Styela clava: one gene and its partner. The protein of the gene in region 2 interacts with the protein of the main gene of each other region in a pairwise test. Links are inferred from orthologs where the notes say so. Each region holds a gene or a part of one and is shown on either strand. Other genes may lie near its edges.

The links.
Region 1: the proteins of transcription initiation factor TFIID subunit 11-like (region 2) and transcription initiation factor TFIID subunit 13-like interact in a two-hybrid assay, tested with the Drosophila melanogaster proteins (2 studies listed by BioGRID). The link is inferred for Styela clava from reciprocal best matches to the Drosophila melanogaster genes Taf11 and Taf13.

Annotation. Positions count from the first base shown.
Region 1 is NC_135258.1:9,412,106-9,419,189, reverse strand, and holds transcription initiation factor TFIID subunit 13-like, read right to left. Parts: upstream 2,487-7,084; 5' UTR 2,225-2,486; intron 1,954-2,224; 5' UTR 1,888-1,953; coding exon 1,528-1,887; 3' UTR 646-1,527; downstream 1-645. Other genes in the region: protein C3orf33-like, read right to left, coding at 371-430, 507-563.
Region 2 is NC_135264.1:15,684,785-15,692,821, forward strand, and holds the start of transcription initiation factor TFIID subunit 11-like, read right to left. Parts: upstream 3,062-8,037; 5' UTR 3,019-3,061; coding exon 2,901-3,018; intron 2,343-2,900; coding exon 2,240-2,342; intron 1,641-2,239; coding exon 1,542-1,640; intron 1,153-1,541; coding exon 996-1,152; intron 475-995; coding exon 319-474; 3' UTR 1-318. UniProt on the Drosophila melanogaster protein: The TFIID basal transcription factor complex plays a major role in the initiation of RNA polymerase II (Pol II)-dependent transcription.

The DNA of each region.
Region 1 (7,084 bases), on a different chromosome or scaffold from region 2:
ACTTCATTTCAGTGCTAACGAACTACTAATAGCCAGGCCGGTAAGGTTTTTGTACACCAAGGCGTGGATTTGAAGCCGCGGCCACCTCAGTTACAAGAGCTATGGGTGTATTTACTGGACTACCAACACCCCGAAAATTGGTTCATGTTGACTGGTGGATATGGGGTTGCAAATTTGCAATTGTTAAAGTTCAATTATTTCCAGTATATAAAACCATATTTTGAACATCATTTTTAAATCAAAATCGGTGAAGATGCCATATATGTTTCATATATTTACCACTCTAGTTAACAACAAATGTCAAGATAATGGAATCATTATCCAAAAATTACCATAAATGACTACAGTGATATTGCAAATATAAACTCACGAGTCTTGATCTTCTTACAATCATAAAAACACCTATTCCAGCAATCACATATCCTGCATTCTGTTAAAAACATAATAATAATACATAAAAAAAAGTCTGGCATAATAAATACACTAAAGAATACAGCAAAAATTACCTTCACAATCCTAATGTGCTTGTCAAAAAATTCTGATGCTTTATTCACAACATCCATTCTTGTGCGGAATGTAAAACATTTTGACAATCCTTAGATTCAAATCACATGACTAACTTACGATAAAAACCATGAAAGTTAATCTATAAATGTAAGATAAAGTAAAACAACAAAAACAGAAAATATGTTAACACCAGACAAACTGAAAAAATTTGATTTACATCAGTATTGTTCGAACTCTATCATCAAAAAAAATTAATGGAGTAAGTTAGGTCAGAATAATCTCCATCACATTGTAGTGTGATCAAGTGCCAATTATGTTATAGCAATCTTCCCAGTTTGCATTTTTTAGATTGGAATGAAATTTAAACATTCAAAATACTAATAGGCGAGTAGCCTAGACTCAAACAATTATACTCCAGTCCAGGAATGTGCAACATTTTTTGTCGGTGGCCCATATAACCAACTTCAGACATTCAGCTGGTCTGCACAAAAAATTTGGTTTTTCCATGGATACAACGAATTAAAAAATTCGCACAATGCAAAAATCAAATGCAGCGACAAGAGGACAGAAACATTACATATTTTTAACCATGTGAGCGCATTTTTAAACATAAACTGTCGGATTAGGATTTTATGCTTGGTGGGGAAAATCTGAGTGTTGACAAGGTGTGTTGAGCTGAGTGTTGCACACCCCTGCTTCAGATTAAACTATGAAGATATCACACCTATGGTACCGGTATAATAAATTGGATAGGCAGAGCTAAACCGGAATGATCCGGTTCTTCCAAACTATAATAGCTCCTTACTTAATAGCTGCTTGTTCAGAGCAAAACAAACATAAATATTTTATATAAAGAGTGAATGATAAATTATGGCCTCTTGATTTGATTAAAACATTATCAAATATTTTGTACAGACGAATTAGTCTTTGTAAGACATGATTCGGTTTATTGCACAATCGGACCATTTATATTCACAATTCTTTTCCCATTTAGTTCTTTTTCAAGTGCAAATTTGGAAATCAAAACTTCGCTTCATCAAAAGCCCTTCTTGCTTTTTTAAGTTCTTCATTCATAGTTAATAAGTCTTTAACTCTGGCATATTTTCTTGCATCTTTTTGTATGAGATAAACAATGTCTTCAACTTGCACTCTTCCAGGCCTTCCGATCTGCAATGCTTTATGTGTGAGTTCTGTTATAAATTCTATAACAAGTTCTTCTATGAGTTCTGCTGATTCTGTATAGGGGTTGGTATCATCTCCGAAGCCATACATCATACATCGAATTTCTTTAAAAAACAGACGTTTCTTTTTATCTAAATCTTGTTGGCTGCTAGATTTTGAATGTTGAGGACTTTGCTTTGTACCATCAGAGTCTGCCATTTCCACCAATTCTTATGTTATTGGAGAGCTTGCAATAAATTAATTTGTTAGCTGCTAGTCGGGGGTCTGAGACGAATGCCGAAATTAATAAATTCAATTTTCAATACCTGAATTTTACATGTTACTGCAATTACTAACGATACCTATAAAAATGAAAACGCACATAAATCTCACAAGCCGCGTCGGATTTCCGCTTTTTGGATTTTACAAAGAGCAGTCCATAGAGCCATAAGCGACACAGGTAACTTACGTGCATACATTTGTGTATAAACAGGATTTTAGGATATGTTTGTGACTAGGTTTATCGTAAGTTCGTAACAATGGAAATTTAACTTACCCACATTCAACTTAAAGATTTTAAAATTGATTGTGAAAATTTCGATTATCTGCAGTAATCTAAAATCAAACCTAAAATGGTTGCTACCCCGAGCATAGATTTCGTTGGATAATCAAACCAATCACTCATTTTATTTCGGTTCTCCGGCATAAACAACACAAAAAGTAAACAGACTAACAAAATGCAGAGATACCCGGGATGCGAGCATAACTTAAAATAAAGTTAAAAAGTCACGTACCCACTACCCAACATAAATTAAAAAAAAAAAAAAAAAAAAAAAACAGGAGAGTGAACGCGATTCAAAATCGGGCAACATTTTTGATGGGGCTTTAAAAAAAACAGCAAATTCAAGTAGATCATATAATTAGAGTTAGTTCGGATACCTATAATTTATACTATCCGGATAACGGATATATCCGGTTACAGTGGCGCAGCCAGGGGGGGGGGGGGGGGGGGTCGGGGTCGAACCCCCCCCCCCCCTTTTGAATTTTCCGAAAAGTGAAAAAGTTGCCGATAACATGTGCAATTGCCTTCTGCTGAAATCGCCGTTCGTTTTCATCAACGCGGCATGTTATTTATTCCGTGAACGCCCTTTACATGTGTTTATTCTCTCTAATCTCACAAATTTGTGCCGCGGGAACAATGGTAACTATTTTATTTTTGTACCCGCACGGAAATGTGAAAACTGAAAAAGCGTGCAATTGCCTTCTGCTAAAATCGCCCATGTTTTCATCAGCGTGTTATTTGGGCCGTAAACGCCCTTACGTCGGTTTTTATTCTTTCTAAATCATAAATTTGTGCCACGATAAACATGATAATTATTTTATTTTTGTACTTTGCACGGAATTGTGAATTCGTGAGTTATTATACGTTCATCGGTGGCGAGGTTCTAAAGACAAAAGAAGGAGTAAAACCGCGATCTAAATTTGATTGAAAAGCGGCATTATAAAATACTGAAAATAGAACCGTAAACAATATAAGTTTTGTTGAGTCCCGCGACAGTCTAAAAAAGCTTTTCTAGTCGCAAAATCGCAAAATTTCGTGTGCCTATGGCGCACATTATGTTTGGTCGCCGTTTAGGAACATACCGTCACTAAAATCGAAACACGGTTAATTGTGGGTGGGATTTGCCTTTTATCCATTACTTACGATTTTTTCCCGGTTTGTGATGATATATAAGATAATTAATCCGAAGTATATCCATCAATCTTTATTGTACTGAAATAAATTTTACTCCATGAGAATTCACAGCAGATTTACGGATTTTTCAGGAGGTTTTATCTTTAAAAATAATCGGAGTGTCAGCATTGCGATTGAACGAAGTCAATGTTACAAGCACATCTCAAATTTGTCGAATTTGCAAAATAGAAAAAATACGGATCAAAACAATATATGATAGGCGACGGGCAGTTACCACAAATTTTTATTTTTATGTCGGCAAATGGCCGAGGTATTTTGAAATTGTGAATTGTAAAAAATTGTTTTGTTTTGTCGACGCAAATGCTGGTTAAATTGAAGACAATTAAATTAATAAAGCAAGACATTTTAAATATGCCCTTATCGGTCACGAATTGATTACTTAGCACAACAGAAAAATCATTTTTCGTTGTTTAAGAAGTGGCGTGATCGCGGCGATTTTTGATTACGAAATAAAATTGTACTCTTCGGGATTTTATATCAGTTAATGTGATTTTTCTAACGGCGATAACGAGTTGGCAAGATTCCAAAAATACGTATTAAAATTAAATACACCGTTTGTCCTCATATTTTTATGTCCACCGATGCCGTGGCATTTCAGAGAACTAATGTTTTTATTTTGACATAAGAAGAAGCAACCGCGAGTTACGTTGGACACAATTAACTTAATAATTTAGAACATTTTAGAATTTTGTAGTTGTCAGAGATTGAATATTTCACGCGACAAGAATAATCATTATACGCTGAAAAGACGTCCCTTTAACGAGCGCGTAATTCGAAGACTGTTACAGACCGCAATGGGAATTTATGATTATGAACCCCCCCCCCCCCTTTTGAAAATCCTGGCTGCGCGCCTGTCCGGGTATCTCGTATTTTAACTATGCGGTTAACCGGATAGTTGCCGCTAATTTTGGAGAACCGATTTCACACGATTTTCGAGGCGAATTGACTAAAAACCAACACACAGTTATATTGCAAATACGTACTATTTTTCTCGAATAAAAATGATTGTGCATTTCGATGTTGCATGTGTCAATAAATAAAAATTTAAGCTCCGTAATCGTACAGAAGTACAGCTGAATAATATAATGAAACGTGCTTTTTTGAATACTGTGTCCTAATTGTCTTCCCTCAACTGCTACGTTATTTTATCCTATTCAAATCATATGTAAAGAATTATATTATTGGACACGTCAGTGTACATAACGATCGTTTTAATATTATGTTGTTGTTGTTATTATTCTCCTCTTTCGTCATGATGAAATCGCTTTTCTCTTCGAATACTGGACCAATTGCTTTGAATTTTTTTACTGGTTAAAGATTGATTTTTTTGCCAGAAGGCTATTACTTTTACTTATTTCAAAAATGCTGTGGACTTCAATAGATTCGTTTTTCATGTGTCAGATTAAAAAATAGCGACACCTTGTGACGTATCCATATATTTGAGCACAGCTCTCTTGTTTCTTATTATTGTTAAATTTTTTTTAAAGTTTCTTTTTGTGTCTAGAGCATTTTTTCTTAAAATTTTGACTTATACTAAATTTTGGTGTCGCACACTCACGATGACCATTTCTTTAAGCTTTTGTGTTCAACTAGTTTAACCGTAAATATATACTACTACGGTTTAACATACATCTGACTTAGATAGAATATATTTATTGGACACGTTTAGTGGACATAACGATCGTTTTTTGGACACGTTTAGTGGCCATAACGATCGTTTCAATATTATGTTGTTGTTGTTGTTCTTGTTCTTTGACACGTTTTTAAAAAATCGCTTTTCTCTTCGAATACTGGACCAATTGCTTTGAAATTTTCAGTGGTTAAAGATAAATTTCTTCGCTAGAAGGCTATTACTTTTATTTATTTCAAAATTTTGCGTGAATTCTATGAAATTTGATATTTCGTCTAAAATTTTGCTGTATTATTTTTGGACACGTAGTGGACATAACGATCGTTTCAATATTGTGTTGTTGTTGTTGTTGTTGTTCTTTGACACGTTTTTAAAAAGTCGCTTTTCTCTTCGAATACTGGACCAATTGCTTTGAAATTTTCAGTGGTTAAAGATAAAAATTTTCTCCAGAAGGCTATTACTTTTTTTTTCGCTATGACGTCATCAAAATTATGTGACTCTACGTGTCCATATATTTGAGCATAGCTCTCTTGTTTATCCATGGGAACACGAATTTTAGTCAGTGTCATGACTGGCTGTACGTTTTGATTCTGCAAAATTCTTGCTACTGGAAATTCAGCACTTTTTTGAGGGTACCGGTAGCGCCAAAGGTACCGGTAAAGACTGATTCGCTCTGGTCTAACGTGTCCATATATTCGTGCGTAGCTCTCTTGTGTTGTTATTGGACACGTAGTGGACATAACGATCGTTTCAATATTATGTTGTTGTTGTTGTTCTTGTTCTTGTTCTTTGACACGTTTTTAAAAAGTCGCTTTTCTCTTCGAATACTGGACCAATTGCTTTGAAATTTTCAGTGGTTGAAGATTAATTTTTTCGCTAGAAGGCTATTACTTTTATTTATTTCAAAATTTTGCGTGAATTCTATGAAATTTGATATTTCGTCTAAAATTTTGCTGTATTATTTTTTATCCATGGGAACACGGATTTTAGTCAGTGTCATGACTGGCTGTACGTTTTGATTCTGCAAAATTCTTGCTACTGGAAATTCAGAACTTTTTTGAGGGTACCGGTAGCGTCAAAGGTACCGGTAAGGACTGATTCGCTCTGGTCTGACGTGTCCATATATTTGTGCGTAGCTCTCTTGTGTTGTTCTTGTTGGACACGTAGTGGACATAACGATCGTTTCAATATTATGTTGTTGTTGTTGTTGTTCTTTGACACATTTTTAAAAAGTCGCTTTTCTCTTCGAATACTGGACCAATTGCTTTGAAATTTTCAGTGGTTAAAGAGTAATTTTTTTGCTAGAAGGCTATTACTTTTATTTATTTCAAAATTTTGCATGAATTCTATGAAATTTGATATTTCGTCTAAAATTTTGCTGTATTATTTTTTATCCATGGGAACACGGATTTTAGTCAGTGTCATGACTGGCTGTACGTTTTGATTCTGCAAAATTCTTGCTACTGGAAATTCAGAACTTTTTTGAGGGTACCGGTAGCGTCAAAGGTACCGGTAAGGACTGATTCGCTCTGGTCTAACGTGTCCATATATTTGTGCGTAGCTCTCTTGTTGTTCTTTGACACGTTTTGAAGAAATCGCTTTTCTCTTTGATTACTGGACCAATTGCTTTAAAATTTTCAGTGGTTGAAGATAAAAATTTTCTTCAGAAGGCTATTACTTTTTTTTTGCTATGACGTCATCAAAATTATTGCCATTAGGTGGCGCTACGTGTCCATATATTTAAGCATAGCTCTTTTGTTTCGGCTGGTATATCTATTGATTCGGTTGATACATGGAAATTTGAAAAAAAACATATATACCAGAGTTAAAAGTAAGCACATAACATTTGTTCGTGAACCCAAAATTTTGAAATACTACACAGATTACATGTGTGACGACCCTTGTTTTATCTGTTAAATGCTGTCATGTTATAATATTGCCTTATTTGGTATTTTGGCATTGGGGACACTGGGGGCGCTGTGACACTCTCGGTTCTGTTCTTTTATGTGTGGCTGTTAGCGTGTGATGTG
Region 2 (8,037 bases):
CACGGTGTAATATTTCTTAACAATATTCCCAATATACAGGGTGTCCTACATTTGATACATCTGTGAGGGCCAAAACAATATAGTGCATTGATAAATTTCCTTTGCAATTAAAAAAAATTAAGACCTCATGGACACCCTATAATTCCAAAATAAACAGTTCTGATTCTGAAAGATTATGTCATGAAGCATCACAAAAGTCCATTTTTTCATGATTCTGATAGGAAATTGACAGCAATGTACCCATCTCTTAACCAGAAAAGCCATTCAGGACAGGCTTGGTAGGATTCGGCCTTCGGCAAAACAATTCAAATACAGGCATCATAATGGGTTAGTCTTCAGTTTAGAAAACGGGAAAGTTCTTCTGGCTTTTAATTTTCTGATTGCTTCACGAATATGTTTTGGTTTCACTGGAGGCGTTTCCCCTTGTTGCTCCATAACATCAAGTGCTATCTCCATGATTTCACCGACATAAACCTGATAAAATATAGGAAACAACAAAATCAGAAAAATTGTATCAGATTCTAGTGAATGGAAAACTGACTTGACAGTTGGCCAATTATTTCCAGTAATGAGAGCAAGAGAAATATTGGACTTCAAAGTAATTTTCTCAAATAATTTGTTAAGAAATTCGAATCCATGAGATTTTTTGTGAAAGATTTAATCCTAAACTTGGGTTTCTTGAACTGTTGGTGTTATGGAGCCTGTCAAGGGCCTGAATATTTATTTACAGTGCCCCACCATGAATTTTTTAGAAACTATTATCTATTCTATTGGAACTTATAGATAATGTCATATTTAAATTACCACCTTATTTCCACATTTCAACGCTACTGTTGTCAAATTTTATTAATGCCGTTATTCTTTGGACAGTTACAAAATTAGCCAAGTCAGTATTTTAATAAGTAAATGAATGGCTTGCGGAGCACCAAGGTTTTTCCGCACTTTGAGAATCTATGCCCTGAACTATTCCAATACAAAGATAAAGACGAGCTTACTTTGGACACTCCAGCAACTCCTATCACCACATTTTGTGATACTGTGCATCCAGCGATGGATTGCATTAATCGTTTTATTGAAGCTTTTGGAAACGATGAACGTCTGTACATTTCATATCTGTTTAATTGGTCTTCAGAGAAAGCTGTCACAAGTCGCCTAAAAATAAACAAATTTAAAGAAAAGATTTGAGCATGTTGGGAAGTCTGATGAGCAGATTCTTTACAGATCACCAACTTGAGTGTCATCTATTATCTATATAAATTCACTGTTTGTGAACGCATAACACATTTAACCTAATGTAAATACAACTGTTACAAAAGACCATCTTAATGCAACCAAATAATCCAATCAGTTCGTTAAAATATAATACAAAGCATATACAGGAGAAATGGCATGATCGTAGTTTGGCATGTTTCCATGGAGTTGGTTCAAAATTCAAAACATTATAAAATTCATAAAGAATTCATGAAGAACATTACAAAACAAAATTCATGAGAACATCAGAGCTGCTGTAAAATATAACTAAATTTAAATTTCCAACTTACTGCATTTTCATTCTTTCAACTCTTCCTGATTTTTCTTTTTTTCGTTTCGCTGATAATATTTCATCAGCAGTTGCCTGTTGTGCTGACGTAGGATCTTTTCTGAAAATAAATAAAAAATTTGAAAGTAAAATATGATATAACTGATATTGGATTAATAACATGAGATTTTTCTGCCCAGTCACGCTCCAATTGGAAATTGGAGAAGTGGAATAGAGCAGCACCGGCATTAGCCCAATTAGATGAAATTATTCCGCTCATTCACGCTTCAATGATAAAAACTCGGGTTTAGTCCAGATATCTAGCCTGAGAAATTAGAAAATAAAATATGGCAGCACCGGCACTAGCTTAATTAGATGAGAATATTCCACACATTCACGCTTCAATGGGAAATTTCAGATAAAGTCTAGATATCTAACCCGGGAAATTAGAAAGTGAAATATGGCAGCAGCGGTATTAGATTAAATAGATGGGATTATTCTGCTCAGTCACTTTTCAGTGGAAAAAAATCAGGTCTAGTCTAGACATCTAACCTGAGAAATTACAAAGTGGCATGCGGCAGCACCGGCATTGGATTAATTCAGATGAGATTATTCCGCTCAGCCACACTTAGAGGGGAAAAAATTCACATCTAGATGTTTTACTGGGAAATTGAAAAATTTTGATAGTAAATTTCTTTTAACTAGCTTCTTTAGACATACTTTGGTGATTCTTTCGATGAAATTGATGTATTTTTGTCTCCTTTGCTTGGGCTTTCTTGAGGTCCTGATGGCGAACCAAACTTTCTTTTTAATTTTGAAGAACCTGAAAATAAAGATACCTCCTAAAGCAGCGGCTCCCAACCGGGGGCCTGGGGCCTATGCAAGGGGCCACAGAGGAGTTGAAGGGGACTACAATGTTAGAAGCAAAACCGCTTCTAGCATTCCTTTACTAAAAAAAGTCCCTGTTCATCACTTGTGATAAATAACAGAGGTTCTCAAACTTTCCAAGCCGCGCCTATTTTAGAATTTTCCAAGTCTTGCGCCTCACCTCAAAAATAGAAAAGCTACAAATAACAGATAGTGAGGCAAAAGTATATTTTATTCAAAAAACACATTGAATAATGTGGATGAAATTGCAATCTCCAATAATAAAGATAAGTAAATATGCAAATTAAGGACGGACAAGATTAAACCTAACAAATATTTTTATTTGCGGGGCATGCTGCGCCGTTTGAGAACCACTGTTTAATATTGTATGTATAAATAAGTATTATACTAATAATATCAACTAAAGAATATTAGTATACTACAGCAACATTTCTACCTGACCTGGTAACATCAGTTTAAAACCTTGTCAGAGCGAAGGCATAAAGTAAATTACCTGGTTTTTCATCAAAACTTTCTTCATGCATAGAGGTGTTGCTTCTTTTTGACGTATTCGCTTCAGAAACATCGGAATCGTCTAATTTTAAATCCCCATGCTCGGCATATTCTGCCATACTATAGCACTAAGCTTATTTCATAAACTAAAAACACAAAAATATATACATGTACTATGCAATATATGAACTAGGCGTGGTAAGTCAACTTGCATAAAAATTTACAGCGGAATTTGCATGGTTAGAAAATGGCATAGTGTCAATAAACAAGCATTAGGTAATATATTTCATAAACCCATCTCTATTTTCTTTATAAAACCTTAAAAAATGTGCAAGTTATAAATTAGAAAGTGATGTGATAACCTGACCTGCATACCTTAACAGAATTAACCTAAACAAAATTAACAGAATAATGCATATAAAACCACTCAAATCAATATGTATAAGTCAATGGTAAATTTGTCAGCAAGGATATTTAGTTCAGTTGCTATAAACAAAAACTAGGAGCGAGAGATATGGAGTAAATCAAAAAAGAACTTTTAACGTCAAGCAGGGAATAATTAAATCAAAATCATGACTATGAACATGTAAACCAGTTTGTGAGCCCGAACTCTCAAAATAAGCATCAAAAATTTTGCAATGATGGCATTAAAAAAATTTCAAAGGTCAGAGACAAATCAGTGTGTTCAACAAATAGCTTTTTCTGGCAAAATAACTGCTTGGCAAAATCAGATGCTTTTGATATATACAAAGTTACAATAACAGCATATACAACATAAATGAAAACCTATGCGCTAACTATAAATTTCATACTATAATATATATATAAACAAAACACTTGAAAAAAAATATGGAAGTTTTCTATTCTAAAAACAAACATTATACAAAATTATTCAAGGTCAACATTTTGTAGAAAAACTCATTAGAACCAATGGAAAGGAAGATTCATTGTGGTGTTACACCTGCCATTACAAAATGACTTGACCCATGTTCTTGTATTTCTGCATGTGCATTATCTCTGAATACATTTCCATATGCATGTGATCCTGTGTTTATTTCAGTGTACACATTTAAATTTTCTGGTTTGCTTTCTTCAATAGGCCAGACTATTATAACAGGTACATGTCTGGTTCTTTCGCAATAGATTATTGAATACTTGATGCGGATTTGTCCTCGTTTGTCACGAATCGAATCACTTGGGGTAAAACATAAATGAGAGAATCCCTGTCTCACAATATCCTTTGTGACTTCTATAATCTCGTTTTGGGGCTGAATATTAGGAAGTTGAACCTCTGAATTATCATCACATTCAATTTTTATTTCAATCTTCGATTTGAGACCAACGTTTAATCGCTCCTCAAGAGGCAAAATTCCAACAAAACCTCTTTTTTTCAAAGCTGATTCTGTGATTTCGTGGTCAGATCGATTTCTTGTTAAAACAGATATGATTTGTGCTGTCTGTTTTTGCATGTAGAGATCGTTAATAAAAGTAAATATTCCATTTTCACATATGTCCTTCTCACTCCCATTGCAAAAATCGCAGAAACGGTCCACTTCGAACACAATTTCACTTTCGGTTTTCAACTTAACATCTTTAATCATTGTCCATTCCCCGTCTTTTTCCTTGTGCATAATTTTAACTGGAATTTCCCGATTATTTTTACTGTAGAAATTTGTTTTCATCGTCAAAGTAACTGGTGTATCAAATGTTATTGAAGGATTGCATTCAATGACAGGTGTGATAGGAAGTAAATCATCTGGGAAATCATCGAAGAAATTATTGACCGAAAGAGAAAATGTAGTTTTTGTTTTAACAGCACCAGGCGGCACAAGGAGCTTGCAGTCATAAAGCCACATAAATCCACCATCTGGTCCAATTTCTTCGACCAAAGGTTCATTAGCATCTATCTTATTCTCTCTTGACCAGAGTATAGAAAACAATTTGATGTTTTGATCGAGTGAAAGGGCTGACCGTTCTATTGAGAATTTTCCAATCTCTTTGAGCAAAATATTTTTTTGTGATTTATTCATTTTCAGGGGGCCCAGCGACAAGCATTTGTGAACTTTTTGAGCTAACCTCGACATCACAAAGATCTCATCATCAGTAGGGGACATTGACACAATTCCTCTGTTGTTCAAGCAAGAAAATGTAACTTGCTTTTGCTGTAGAGCAGTGCAAAATGATGACAAACGATCATATGTTGCACATATACCCATAGCTGTAAACACTGTGGTTTTGGTGTTATTCAATAGCTCTGCAAGAAGCTCAAATTCTTCTAAATTTGTTATAGAATGACTATGAATTCGTAAATCATCCAAAATCACATTATATTCCACAAATGCATTGTTGAGTTCTACTATCTTTTCAGAACTCAAGTTATTGTCATTCAAAATCAGAGAACGAGATCCACAAAGGTGCAACACTTGGACAAATAAGAAATATGCTGCTGGTTCCAGTATTGTTGTATTCTTTAAATGAATAGTAGGAGCAGTTAATACGCCATTTTTTATAGCTTCACCTAATTTTTGAAGATTTTTGCAATCCATACCAATAATTTCAAGAAGAGTAATCAGGATGCTAATATTACAACTGAGTAGTGATATCATGAGTGGCAAATTTGTCGAGCAAATTTCAAATGTTGTCATTCGAATGGACTTTAATGACACAGCATTATTTGCGATGGACAACAATGTATTTCGTTCGCCAGGATGCAGAGAAGTTTTTGTGAAATCAAACTCTTCTGCATTGGTTGTAAATTGTTTGAAGACATCTGGGCCACATTCATGCAATATGGAAACTAGTAGTTCATCCGAAATCACTTTTTGATCCAATAATTTACCCAAGTATTCAAGCAGGTATTCAGACTTACTATGCAAGTTATCTGGTAGAAATTTTGATGCTTTTTTTGCAGTGGATTTGTTGAGAATTATTATAAAAATATGTTTTATAACAACTTCCATTCCAGATTTTTTGTAATTATCCTCGATAAACTTCTTGAATTCCTCCAAGTCAAGACTGCAAGCATACAAGGAAGCAAGTATCGTTTGGATGTGCGGGTGTAGAAAGCGTATTCTCATATCATTATCGTCGGCAACATACTCAACAAATCGGGTGTCAGCATCCATCTCAACAAGACCACGCATGTCACTCATATCCAGGTTGAGTGACTCAATATACCTTGCTGTGAAAACAAATCGATTCTCTATCATCCCAAGAAAAGCCAACTTCATGCCTTTTGGCACAAGACTTTGGACATTTCCTTTATGACGAGATCCTGAGAAAAGTCTCATAATTGAAACCATCGTAGTTGTGATATTCACATCAGCACCTTTTGGTGGATTTTTATAAGTCTCAGTTATGTATCTCATGAACAAGGGGTTTGAAAAAAGGTCAAATGCCCCATATATTTTCCAGACGAAAATCATGCTTTCACTTTTGGAGCCAAATATATTTTCTACAAGTTGATGCACTTTTCCTATATCATATCCTTTTAAGACCACGGTTCTTGGGGTTTTCATGTTTGGGGGCAATTTCCAATATGCATGCCAGCGTGATGTTGATAATAATTTAATTCCTTGGTAAATATGCCCGGATAATACATTAGCGATAATTGTGTTGGTATCTGCTACAGTGTCCACTCCAATTTTGGAATAATCACCTTCTAATGGAGTTTGATTTTGGTCCAATCCATCCAATACAAGCAAAACATTTGATGAATTCAGTTTCAACCAGTTTGATCCGGAATCATGTAGGTATTCAGGAAGTTCCGATCCAAGCTGTTGGACAAACAGAAGATCAAAAGGAGTTGTTCTTTGTTTGCTGTATAACTTAGAAACATCCACATAATAGACCATCTTAATCTCAGCGGAAAACACCAACTTCTTCTTCGAAGCCATCATTGCATAATTCAAAGCAAATATTGTTTTTCCAGAGCCTGTGTCACCTAGCAACATGACATGGTTGACCGAATCATCAGCATGGATCCTTGTAACATCAACATTTTTTGAATCATCTAATAATGCAGTCACCATTGGAAGACTGACGTCAATATTCCCTTTTTCTTGAAATATTTTCAATTCATAGGCTAACATACGATTCATATACTCGTCCAGAACTCTGCAAAATTCCATACTTCTCAAATCTACATCGGCAGACATTTTGAATCTATTAGAAGATAATTCCTCACTTTTTTGGGCCCATTTGCTTGATGTTAGTACATCATCATTTTTACCAGACATAGTCGCCTCAAAACTACTTTTTTTCAGGACTATTGGGGGTTGCAGAGCAAAAGCTTTACTTGAGTTTTCTTGGAATGGTATAACACCTCCTTCACTTGGTATCATTTGAGATTGTCCAAGCTTATCTACACTTGGCTTTTCTGTGACTAGTTCCCGATCTTCTGTTGGTTTGTTGATAAATTGATGCTCCTCATCCCCTTGAAGTTTCGGAATGCAATAAGTAATATAGGCCTCTACCAGCTTTCTTATATTTTTGGTGACAACTGTATCATCAGTACTTAGATGATGTGTTCTGTATCTCCATTCCCAAAGCATTGAAAGTTTACATTCTTCCATTGAAAATCTGTTATCTTCATTCATAGTGGCTATAGTATGTTCAGGAAGGTTTAAACCACTCTTCGCTGATCGAGCAAATTCCTTAAACTCAGTAGTTGAAAATCGGTCAACAATATTTTGAAAAACATCTTCCAGTCTTTCCCTGGTTACAGAAACATCTTCAACTTCAGAGGCATAATATTGTGAAACAAGATCTCTCAATATCTGGAAAGTTGCATTTTTTCCATTCTTTTGCGTCCACCTCACTAACAGTTCAATCTTTTGTTCTTCAACAAATCTGGGGTCTCATGTACTTTCTTACCTGAATAACTTCTAGTGGGCGTGGCGTAACAATTTTTGGATATATGATTCCTGACCCCCACCTGATGACGTCATCCAAAAATTACGTCACTGCGACGTCACAATAACGAAATACAGCTTGCCAAAGTATAGCGACGGTCCCCCGTAATGGCGCCTACGAGTATGTCAACAAACTCAATACGTCAGCGACCTCTCTCTTATCGGGGTCGTTGTACAGAGCTCAAAATAAACAAGAATCACAAGCGACTAAATTGTCGCCAAGGA